Linked DNA regions of Sus scrofa. The protein of the gene in region 1 purifies or fractionates together with the protein of each later gene. This does not show direct contact. Links are inferred from orthologs where the notes say so. Each region holds a gene or a part of one and is shown on either strand. Other genes may lie near its edges.

What was found. Proteins that work in one complex are often made in the same cells at the same time.
Region 2: the proteins of UQCRB (region 1) and COX6B purify together in Homo sapiens (affinity purification with mass spectrometry; 3 studies listed by BioGRID and IntAct, counting the BioPlex papers as one, with this or other methods). This does not show direct contact. The link is inferred for Sus scrofa from reciprocal best matches to the Homo sapiens genes UQCRB and COX6B1.

What each region holds. Positions count from the first base shown.
Region 1 is NC_010446.5:40,405,354-40,410,313, forward strand, and holds the end of UQCRB (ubiquinol-cytochrome c reductase binding protein), read left to right. Parts: intron 1-1,100; coding exon 1,101-1,172; intron 1,173-2,486; coding exon 2,487-2,653; intron 2,654-3,494; coding exon 3,495-3,572; 3' UTR 3,573-3,727; downstream 3,728-4,960. UniProt on the Homo sapiens protein: Component of the ubiquinol-cytochrome c oxidoreductase, a multisubunit transmembrane complex that is part of the mitochondrial electron transport chain which drives oxidative phosphorylation.
Region 2 is NC_010448.4:45,089,595-45,095,486, forward strand, and holds the start of COX6B (cytochrome c oxidase subunit 6B1), read left to right. Parts: upstream 1-2,234; 5' UTR 2,235-2,389; intron 2,390-4,004; exon of another isoform or gene 4,005-4,118; 5' UTR 4,119-4,129; coding exon 4,130-4,235; intron 4,236-5,892. UniProt on the Homo sapiens protein: Component of the cytochrome c oxidase, the last enzyme in the mitochondrial electron transport chain which drives oxidative phosphorylation.

The DNA of each region.
Region 1 (4,960 bases):
AAAAGAGAGTGGCCATGTGACATAAAGGTAATATGGAATAAAAATATGGCTGGGGCTCATTTAAATCTGCCAGCGTATCTTGAAATCTCACCTTTTCATACAGCTCCAACTCCCTTGGAAAGTTTACATTTGTTTTCTGTAATCTGTTTCTGAAACTACAAATGATGGGCAAGTTCCGAGTTCCCAGTTTCCCTTCCATCTCCCACCCCTTCAGTTCTGATGGTAACAGGGGAACAGAAGGGAATGGGATAATGGACTTTGAGAAGCTGGAGCGGCAGTAGAGTTGGCCCTCCACATCCACTGGTTCCACACTGGGGATTCAGCCACCCTCATGATCGGAAATATTTTGGGGAAAAAATTCCAGAAAGTTCGAAATAGAAATAGCATTTGCTTTGGATTTACAACCATCTACGTACCATTTATTTTGCATTAAGTATTATAAGCAATCTAGAGATGATTTAAAGTATACATGACAGAGTTCCCGTTGTACAGCAGAAACGAATCCGACTAGGAGCCATGAGATTTCGAATTCGACCCCTTGCCTTGCTCAGTGGGTTAAGGATCTGGCATTGCCGTGGGCTTTAGTGTAGGTTGCAGATGTGGCTCAGATCCCGCGTTGCTGTATTGCTGTGGCTGTGGTGTAGGCAGGCAGCTGCAGCTCTGATTTGACCCCTAGCCTGGGAACTTCCATATGCCTCAGGTGCAGCCCTAAAAAGCAAAAAAAAAAAAAAAAAAAAAAGAGTATACAGGGAGATGTGCTTAGTTATCACTACACTATTTTACATAAGGGACTTGAGGCTCTCTGGATTTTGGTATTGGTTGGCGGGGTGTGTGTGTGTCCTGGAATCAATCCCCTGTAGATATCTAGGGGCTGTAATTGTGTCTATAGATCTTTTGTACATTAGTTATTTGAGTTTACCCTTTTTTCCCATGACTTCCCAATTTTTTGGCTGCAGTCACTCTTGCTCATAGATAAAATAAGAAGTTATCTGTAATATGTAGAGTATATGCTTTTAAAAGAAATTCCTTCCTGTTTTCATTCTCTGGCTTACTGTATACTATACGTGAATTGTTAGCAACTAATGGTATGATAAAATCAGTTGCAGCATCAAGCAAGTGGCTGGAGGGTATACGAAAATGGTATTATAATGCCGCCGGGTTTAATAAACTGGGTAAGTATTTGTGCTTTCTTTCTTCCTCTGTCCCCCCCCCCCCGAGAGTAGTGCTTTTGCAAGCGTTATTATGGATCCCCAAAATGTGCTAATTAATTGCACCTGTGTACATTAGAAAATTAAAAAAATTAGGTCACACTGGGAGTTCTCACTGTGGCACAGCAGGTTAAAAATCTGGCGTTATTTCTGTTGCAGTGTGGGTTTGAACCCCAGCCTGGCACAGTGAGTTAAGGATCCAGCATTGCCCAGCTGGGGTGTAGGTCACAGCTGAAGCTTAGAATTGATCCCTGGCTTGGGAACTTCCATATGATGTTGGTGTGGCAAAAAATAATAGGTTACATTTCATTTTTTAAGTCCATTTCCTTTTTTTATTATTTTGAGAAGAGAAGGATGGAATTGTCTCAAATGTTTGAGGTGGAAATGATTTCTGTTCTTGAAATATGGTAGCAGAACCTTTTTGTTATTATATGCTCCCCCTCTCAATTCCTCCACTTTGCATTTTAAAATTTAAGTTATATGAACTTTGAAAGAAGAGATTTTTCAAATGTTAATATTGTCTGACATCTTTACAATTGTTTGATGCCTGAACTTTTTTGGAATTTCATAATTTGCTATGAACTTCATCTGTTGTAATTGAAGCATCATGAAATGTTACTGGTTCCTTAACACTGTCATTTTAAGATTCTTTAATACCTTGATCTCAGAATTAAAGTAAAAGAAAGTAGAGATGTGGTTTATTGATATGTGTTTAAAAACAAGGTAGACACTTTTTGGAGTTCCCATCGTGGCTCCGTGGTTAATGAATCCTACTAGGAACCATGAGGTTTCGGGTTCAATCCCTGGCCTCGCTCAGTGGGTTAAGGATCTGGCGTTGCTGTGAGCTGTGGTCTAGGTCACAGACGCGGCTCAGGTCTGGTGTTGCTGTGGCTCTGGCGTAGGCCAGGAGCAGCAGCTCCAATTAGACCACTAGCCTGGGAACCTCCATATGCTGCGGGTGTGACCTTTAAAAAACAAAAAATAAAAAATAAATTAAAAAAAATAAAAACAAGGTAGACATTTTAAATGTTTTTTAAATTACTGTAGATAAAGTGTGAATTTTATGGCAGTAGATTTTAAAAAGCTTGTATTGTTTCCACAGTACCATTTAAGAAATAACCCATTAGTGTGTATGAAATGCATTGAGTTTCCATCATACCTAACTCTTGATATTTTGCCCGTTGGGTGAATGAAATTAAGTTATTAAGTCATAAAGATATTCTACTCGTTATTTTTAAGATGCATATTCAATCAAACACTCTTGTTTTTTTATCATAGGCTTAATGCGAGATGATACAATATATGAGGATGACGATGTAAAAGAAGCCATAAGAAGGCTTCCTGAGAACCTTTATAACGACAGGGTGTTTCGCATTAAGAGAGCACTGGACCTGACTATGAGACAGCAGATCTTGCCTAAAGAGCAGTGGACAAAATATGAGGAGGTAGTACAGCTTTTATGTATCTGATAATGGCCGTTAAGAATGGACTCTTAGGAGTTCCTGCTGTGGTGCAGTGAATTAAGGATCCTGCATTGTCTCTGTGGCAGCCCGGGTTCAATCTCCAGCTGGCGCAGTAGGCTAAGAATCCGTGTTGCCGGAGCTGTGGCGTAGGTCACAGGTAGGGCTCGGATTTGATCCCTGGCCTGGGAATTTCCATATGCTTTGGGATCAGCCAGAAAAAAAAAGGAAAGAAAAGGAATTGAGTATTGGACACAGAGAAGACATTCATTGGTGTAGTGCTTTAGAGTTCTTAAAGTTGTGTCAAATCAGTATCCTTAGGACAATCTGGTGAGGTTAGTAAAGCAAATGCTAGCTCCATTTTAGAGACGGACACATTGAGTCTTAGAGGGGAAGTGACTTCCAAAATTGCCAAGCATGTCCTTGATAGAGGATCCAGAACTAGGATCCAGGTCTTCTGCCTTCCGGGCCATTGTTCTCCTGCATACTTTCTGCTCAGATGAAAACAATGGTGTTCCTGTGATTCCATTGAGTGGCCTTCTAGCTCAATAAGAACTCTATGAAGAAAATCCTAAACCTGGGACTGCACTGAAATGAGGCCAAAGCTTGTAGATTCTCATTCTTTTTTCTTTTCTGACAGACTTTCTTGTAATAATCTATCAAAGCAGTTTATTACAATATCTTTTATGAGTTTTTACATTTTTTAGACTGCTTGAGAATATAGTTTCTTAAGTTGGAATTTAATTTTGATAGATTTGTTAAAGATCTATTAAGTATTTATGGTATATGATGAGTCTATATTATTTTTCTTTTATTCATTCTTTAGGATAAATTCTACCTTGAACCATATCTGAAAGAGGTTATCCGGGAAAGAAAAGAAAGAGAAGAATGGGCAAAGAAATAATCGTATAGTCTAAATCTGTGGATGCAGCAGTCGTCAAACTATTTTTATGAACTTGGTTAAACCCGAAATGTACAATGTAGACCTATCTGAGCTGTAAATGTATTACTTTAAATAAATATCTATTATAAATATCATTGGAGTTTTGGAATTCTAAACCTTGTCCTAATAACTGCTGAATTTATGTATCTGTTACAATTCTTTCTAAACTTTTAGGATACTTTTCAGTTAGTAGTTAACTGCGTCCTGAGCTCAGAGAAGCCACTTTAATCATTTAGAATAGTAGAACAGTAGGATGGTCATATTTATATTGCCTTTGTGGGTTAAAGCCCTAGCAAGGCCTCCCTTGCAAGGATGGAATGGAACGAGACACAAGCAGCAGTGACTTTATTTTACCTGAAGCAAATAGTACAAGCAGACTGGCTCTGCAGCTTCAAAAGTTTCCAAATGAAATGGGAGAGCATTCACCTTCTAGTTTGCCAGGATTAGGAAACAGCCCTTTTCCGCTACTGATGTCCAAATATAATAGATTTTGCATTCTGTCTTAAAAAAATTACATATGCAACCCCAGTGTGGGCCTGTATAAGTTATATATCTGTGTTCCTGTGCTAATGTATTAGAAAACAAAAAGTAGACTAGAAAAACAGGCAAAAATTGTAAAGTCAAATCATACTTTCTTCATAGACCCCAGTGACTTTTCCACTTTGGAAATGATTGTCAAAGTCTTTTGTCGGGAGTTCCCGTCGTGGCACAGTGGTTAACGAATCCGACTAGGAACCATGAGGTTGCGGGTTCGGTCCCTGCCCTTGCTCAGTGGGTTAAGGATCCGGCGTTGCCATGAGCTGTGGTGTTGGGTGCAGACGCGGCTTGGATCCCGCGTTGCTGTGGCTCTGGCGTAGGCCAGTGGCTACAGCTCCGATTCGACCCCTAGCCTGGGAACCTCCATATGCCGTGGGAGCGGCCCAAGAAATAGCTAAAAAGACAAAAAAATAAAAAGTCTATTGTAAGCATGGTATGCTAATAATGTTTAAAAGTTTTAAGTTTATAGTCTAATTTTTTAATGTAAATTAGAGCTATTCAATAATGTCATGATTCCTGGAGTTGCTACTGTGGCTCAGCAGTAACAGACCTGACTAGTATCTATGAAGATGCAGGTTTGATCCCTGGCCTCGATCAGTGGGTTAAGTATCCAGTGTTGTAGATGCAGCCGGGATCCCACATTACTGTCGCTGTGGCCTAGGCAGGTGGCTGTAGCTCCGATTCGACCCCTAGCCTGGGAACTTCTGTATGCTGCAGTTGCGCCCCTAAAAAAAAGAAAAAACAAAAAAGTAATAACATTCCCACCACTAAATTCTAAAGTGCTTTCTTTGGTCGAAGTGAAAAATGGAACT
Region 2 (5,892 bases), on another chromosome or scaffold:
TGTTGCCAGTGCTGTTTGCATCCTTCCCACTGGTACCGACTAGATCCTCCAGGAAACCTGTGCTCACCACCACACCCACATCGTTCCCCGCTTCCACCCCTGTGATCCCAAGTCACACCGTGACCAAAACAGACACAGGACCCTTAGGGGACCTACTGTGTGTTCACTGTGTGGTGGGCCATGCAGAGGAATCAAATTCAGTAGCCACTGGCCTGCCTGCTTTGTGCCTGCCCTGTACTGGGACTTGTACATGAAACAGACACAATCAATAACTTTCGAATTTACCCACTGTGTCCCCCTTTGAGAGGACTCAAGATTCCAAAGAGGGCTTACTGTGTACCCTCCCTGTGCCGGGGCCATCAGCGAATTAGACCTGGTGCTTGCCCCCCCAGTCACCTATTCTGTTTTCCTACTTCAAGCTAAGGGCCATAGAACTTAGATCCCAAGGAAAGTCTACCCTGTTCTGGGAACAACTGAGCGCTTAAAGAGAGCCTACTGTAGGCCATGCTGGGGATTCAGTAATGACCAAGACAACCTGGAACCCTGCCCTTAGAGAGTTCACAGTCCAGTGGGGAGACAAAATCATTACCAGATGGCAGGGACAACCCACCGTGGTCAGGGCTGGGATGGGAAACACAGAGGGTGGGGGTGTGGGTGTGGGTTGTTCTCGGGGAAGACTTCCTGGACCAAAAAATAGCTGATATGAGAAGTCAGGTGGGCAAAGAATGTTCCAATGGGAGGAAACAGCATAATCAAAGGCCTGGAGGTAGGCCTCACATCACTATTCAAAGACCAAAAATATCAATGTGACGGAGTCCCGTCATGGCTCAGTGGTTAACGAATCCAACTAGGAACCATGAGATTGCGGATTCAATCCCTGGCCTCGCTCAGTGCATTAAGGATCTGGTGTTGCTGTGAGCTGTGGTGTAGGTCACAGATGCGGCTCAGATCCCACATTGCTGTGGCTCTGGCGTAGGCTGGTGGCTACAGCTCCGATTAGACCCCTAGCCTGGGAACCTCCATATGCTGTGGGAGCGGCCCAAGAAATGGCAAGAAGACAAAAAAAAAAACAAAAAAAGTATATATTTATATATATATATCTCAACGTGGCTGGAGGGAGGACCATGGGTCAGTTCACAAAGGATCTGCGGACAACTATAAATATAATAAAATTCATTGAATTAAAAAAAAAAAGGATCTGTGAACCATATTAAGGAGCCTGGACTTTGTTAGAGGGTTTGGGGGGGGGGTTAAACAAAGAAATTTGGGCTTTAGGAAGATCTCATTGAAAGGGATGAATGCAGGCATGTAAACAAATAATTACAATCCTGATGAACACAGAATGCAGGAGGCCCCCAATCCAGTTAAGCCTGACACTGCCAAGTATTTTATTGGGTGGCTACTTGCTCTCCGTCCCCCATGCAGTTAGGATGGTGTAGGCCTGGTACGCAGCCTCCAAAACATAATGTGCCTTCTAAGGTTTGGGGAAACATGATAATAAGCAGGAAGATGGAGTCTGGGCATTCCTCATATAGGGATGAACGACCCTGGGAGAAAGAATGGCTTGTTTTTAATTCCTTAAGAATGATTTGTTTGCAATCCCCAGTAATTGAATTTCCAATTGGAAGTTCCAATTTTCTTTTCTTTTTTGCTTTTTAGGGCCGCACTGGTGGCATATGGAGATTCCTAGGCTAGAGGTCCAATTGGAGTTGCAACCGCCGTCCTAGCCACAGCCATAGCAACGCAGGATCCAAGCGTTGTCTGTGACCTACACCACAGCTCACCGCAACGCTGGATCCTCAACCCACTGAGCAAGGCCAGGGATCGAATCCGCAACCCCATGGTTCCTAGCTGGATTTTTTTCCTCTGTGCCATAACGGGAACTCCTGGAAATTCCAATTTTCCAATTGACCCAGTAATAATCATAACGAGAATAGGGATTTTTGTGTTTTCTTCAGCTATGCGTCCCAACACTTAATAGAAATATTTGGCACAGAGTAAACGTTCAATAAATGATTATTGCATGAATAAGAGTATTTCCGTTGGGATAGTTTCTCCACAGGGGGACTCTCCCTCCAGGACAGGACCCTGAGCCCTTCTCTCTCGGTAAGGACGGGGAGGAGACGAGACTGCGCCCACGGCTTGGAACCGCTTCAGCTCACGATTGGGCTGGGAGTGAGGACGAACAGGCATTCGGACCAATAGAAGGTCGGAGTTCTCTTGCATGGGCGTGGCCTAAGTGCTTCTGGACCAGCCCAGCCCCGCGGAAGACTCCCTTGTACCGCGTCTCGTCCCGCTTCCGGCCGGTCTTTATTCCGCTTCCGGTCCGACGCCGGCGTCTTTGCTGAGGGTCACATTGAGCTTCCAGCGGTTTCAGGCGCGACTCTAGGTGAGTGTCGAGGCCTCGGGGGCCTGGAATCCCAGCCTGGGGACTCAAGAGTCCGACCCTTGCTTCCCAGGGAATGAGATGAGGTTTCCGGCCGACGGCAGCAGGCCTCCCGGGCCCGGGGGGGTCTCTTCAAGTTAATAGTCGTAGCTAACGATTATTTAGTTTTTCCTCAATGCCTGGAACATTCCAGGCGACTTACATTGATTCATTTAATCCTCCCTCCAGCTCTATGAGGTAGGGCCTGTGATTATCCCTTTTTGACAGGGAGGCAACCGCAGTTCAGACAGTAAGCGGTTTAGCCAGAGGTCAGGATTTGGACCTAGTAGTTTGCACTGCAGGGCTTTTAATCACCAGATGTACCCCCTGTGGTTTGCCTGGGCTGTGGCATGGCTTCTTGGTGTCTGGCGCCTCCACCCCCTTAGACGTTGGAGGGGCCACAGCGGTACTCCCAGTCTACCGCACTCCTGAAATCGGGTGGATCTCGCTTCCAAAATAATTCTTCCGATCGTGTGTGTGTCCCAGCTGCTGGAGTTCCAGATAGCCCCGCTCCCGGAAAGACTCCATTTCGATGGCCCCGATCCCTACCACTACCTTGAGTCGCTTGGATTTAACATCAGTCCACTCACCTCTATGTAATCCCAGGACTTCTCTAATCATCTGGAATAGAGGCAATTTCTTTCAGGTTCCCTGACGAAAACTGTATCACCTCATTAGAAATTCTGTCATAGGTTTTTAACTCTGGGTTCACAGAATCCATAGAATTCAAGGGGTTCTAGTTCTTGAATGGGGGAAATTTTACATCTATATTTTTACTAATCTCTTATTGAAATGTAGCGTTTCCTTCAGTTAGGAGTGGAGGCAGTGGCCATAGTCGTATTAGCATCATTAAAACCACAGGTCATCTTATATCCCATTACAGTTGTAGATGTCACAAAATATCATTTTCATTCCTTTTTTTTAAGGCTGCCCCCAGGGCATATGGAAGTTCCCAAGCTGGGGGGGTGGAATCGGAGCTGCAGCTGCCAGCCTACACCACAGCCATAGCAGCTCAGGATCCTTAACCCACTGAGCAATGCCAGGAATCAAATCCACATCCTCATAGATTCTAGTGGGGTTCGTTACCACTGAGCCACCACGGGGACTCCCTCACTCATGACTATTTCGAAATTGTGTAGTTAAGTCCTCAGCTGCATATAACGGTTTTCTTTGTGATCCTTTGCAACTTCTAAATACATTTAAACATATTCTGAGAAAGGGTTCATTAGATCCCTGGGGAGTTCATGGCAGGGATCAAGATTAAGAACCCCTGCAGTGTAGGTTATGTCAGTGATGGAGTGCAGCTCCACGGCATGTGTGCTCTCTGACCTTGGGATGTCACTTAAACACCCTGTCTCTTTGTGAAACAGTAATAGTAATAGTTCCTGCCTTTTAGAGTGACTGTAGGAATAAAGCATCCTTGCCAATAGTCAGCACTCGGTGAGTGTCAACTAGTGTTATTTTGGGACAGATAAGGCCTGATTTTACCAGAGAGTTGAGCCCCCCACCCCTACCCTGCTGTGACTTCCACACTTTGCGTGTTCTTGCCTGCCTTTCATCTCTGTGTGCATGTTGAAAGGAAGGGGGCCTTGGCCTGGCTTGACTTGGTCACACCCAGCCTGTTCTGCATCCAGCCTCCACTGGGCCTGAGTGGACTGAGAGCCCTACCAGCATCCATTCTCTTTGGCCCCAGGAGTCAGCACTATGGCAGAAGACATCCAGACCAAAATCAAGAACTACCAGACAGCTCCTTTTGACAGCCGCTTCCCCAACCAGAACCAGACCAGGAACTGCTGGCAGAACTACCTGGGTGAGCAGGACATGGGTTGGAGCGGGCGGGGGCAATGTTGACCTTCCCCTGGTCCCACACCTCAAGTCACCTACCTCTTGCCTCCTCCTAGGGGTCCTTCTGCATCCTAGGCCACTTTTATTCTGAACATTCCTACCTTGCAGGGCCCACGCCCCTCCTCACCAGCTGTGTGTTCAAGATCTGGGCCAGTGGCACAAACTTTGGTTCCCGCAATGATTTTGTGTTTTGTTTTGTAAAAAACAAAAGGTTTTTTTTTTTTTTTTTGGCCATGGCATGCAACAGTTTGACGTGGGATATGGGATCGCAGTTCCCAGACCAGGGTTTAAACCCAGGTTGCAGCAGTGAAGCTCTGAGTCCTAACCACTAGACCACCACGAAGCTCCCCCTCGATGGTGTGTGTGTGTGTGTGTGCGCGCGCGTGCGCGTGTGTGCATGCGTGCATGAAATGTACATACATACAGGAGGAACATAAAACATAATGTACAAGTAAATTAATAAACTCGAATTCCCCCATGAAACTGTAATTTGGAAGAAACCTAGATGCTGCCAGCACTCAGAGCTTCCCTGCCTACTGCACTCCCTGTCTTGAAAATAGCGCTCTACCTCCCCACTGAGAGGGCGATCACATTTTGGTTTTATCACCGCTTTTGTCTCTTTGTGAATGTTATAAATACTGTGTGTATTCCTTTGTGTTTGGATTTCTTCAACAGTTTTCAAGATTCATTGATGCTGTGGCATGTATTTTGCTTGCTCTCTCTCTCTCTTTTTTTTTTTTTTTTTTTTTAAGGGCCACCCATGTATATGGAAGCTCAGCCAGGGGTTGAATTGAAGCCACAGCCACAGCAACATGGAATCCAAGCTGCATCTGGGACCTACACTGCAGTTCATGGCAATGCCAAATCCTTAACCCATTGATCAGGGCATCGAACCTGCATCCTCATGAATACTAGTCAGGTTAATTACTGCTGAGCTATAGCAGGAACTCCTATATTTTGCCCATTTTTACTGCTGTACAGTTTTTTGTTTTGTTTTGTCTTTTTGTCTTTTGTTGTTGTTGTTGTTGTTGCTGCTATTTCTTGGGCCGCTCCCGCGGCATATGGAGGTTCCCAGGCTAGGGGTTGAATCGGAGCTGTAGCCACCGGCCTACGCCAGAGCCACAGCAACGCGGGATCCGAGCCGCGTCTGCAACCTACACCACAGCTCACGGCAACGCCGGATCGTTAACCCACTGAGCAAGGGCAGGGACCGAACCCGCAACCTCATGGTTCCTAGTCGGATTCGTTAACCACTGCGCCACGACGGGAACTCCCCTACTGTACAGTTTTATATTTTATTCACAGACACATGGTATCCAGTTTGGGGTTCAAGAATCACGCTTGTATAGACATGCTTATAAATGTAATTTGGTATCCACGTGAATGCTTTTCTCTCTAGGGAGTGTGCCTAGGAGTGTAATACATGGAGTAATTTTTAGATTAATTTTTAGATTAATTTCCTACTGGTTTTAATAAATCAGACCATCCCCCTCATGTCCTCTCTAGGATGCCAGCGTCTCAGCATCAAGCCATTTTTCCCTTTCCTTGCCCCAGTTCTGGACTTGCATAATTTCCACACCTGCCTTTCACGTGGCCCTATCATTCCTGACCCCAGAATTTTC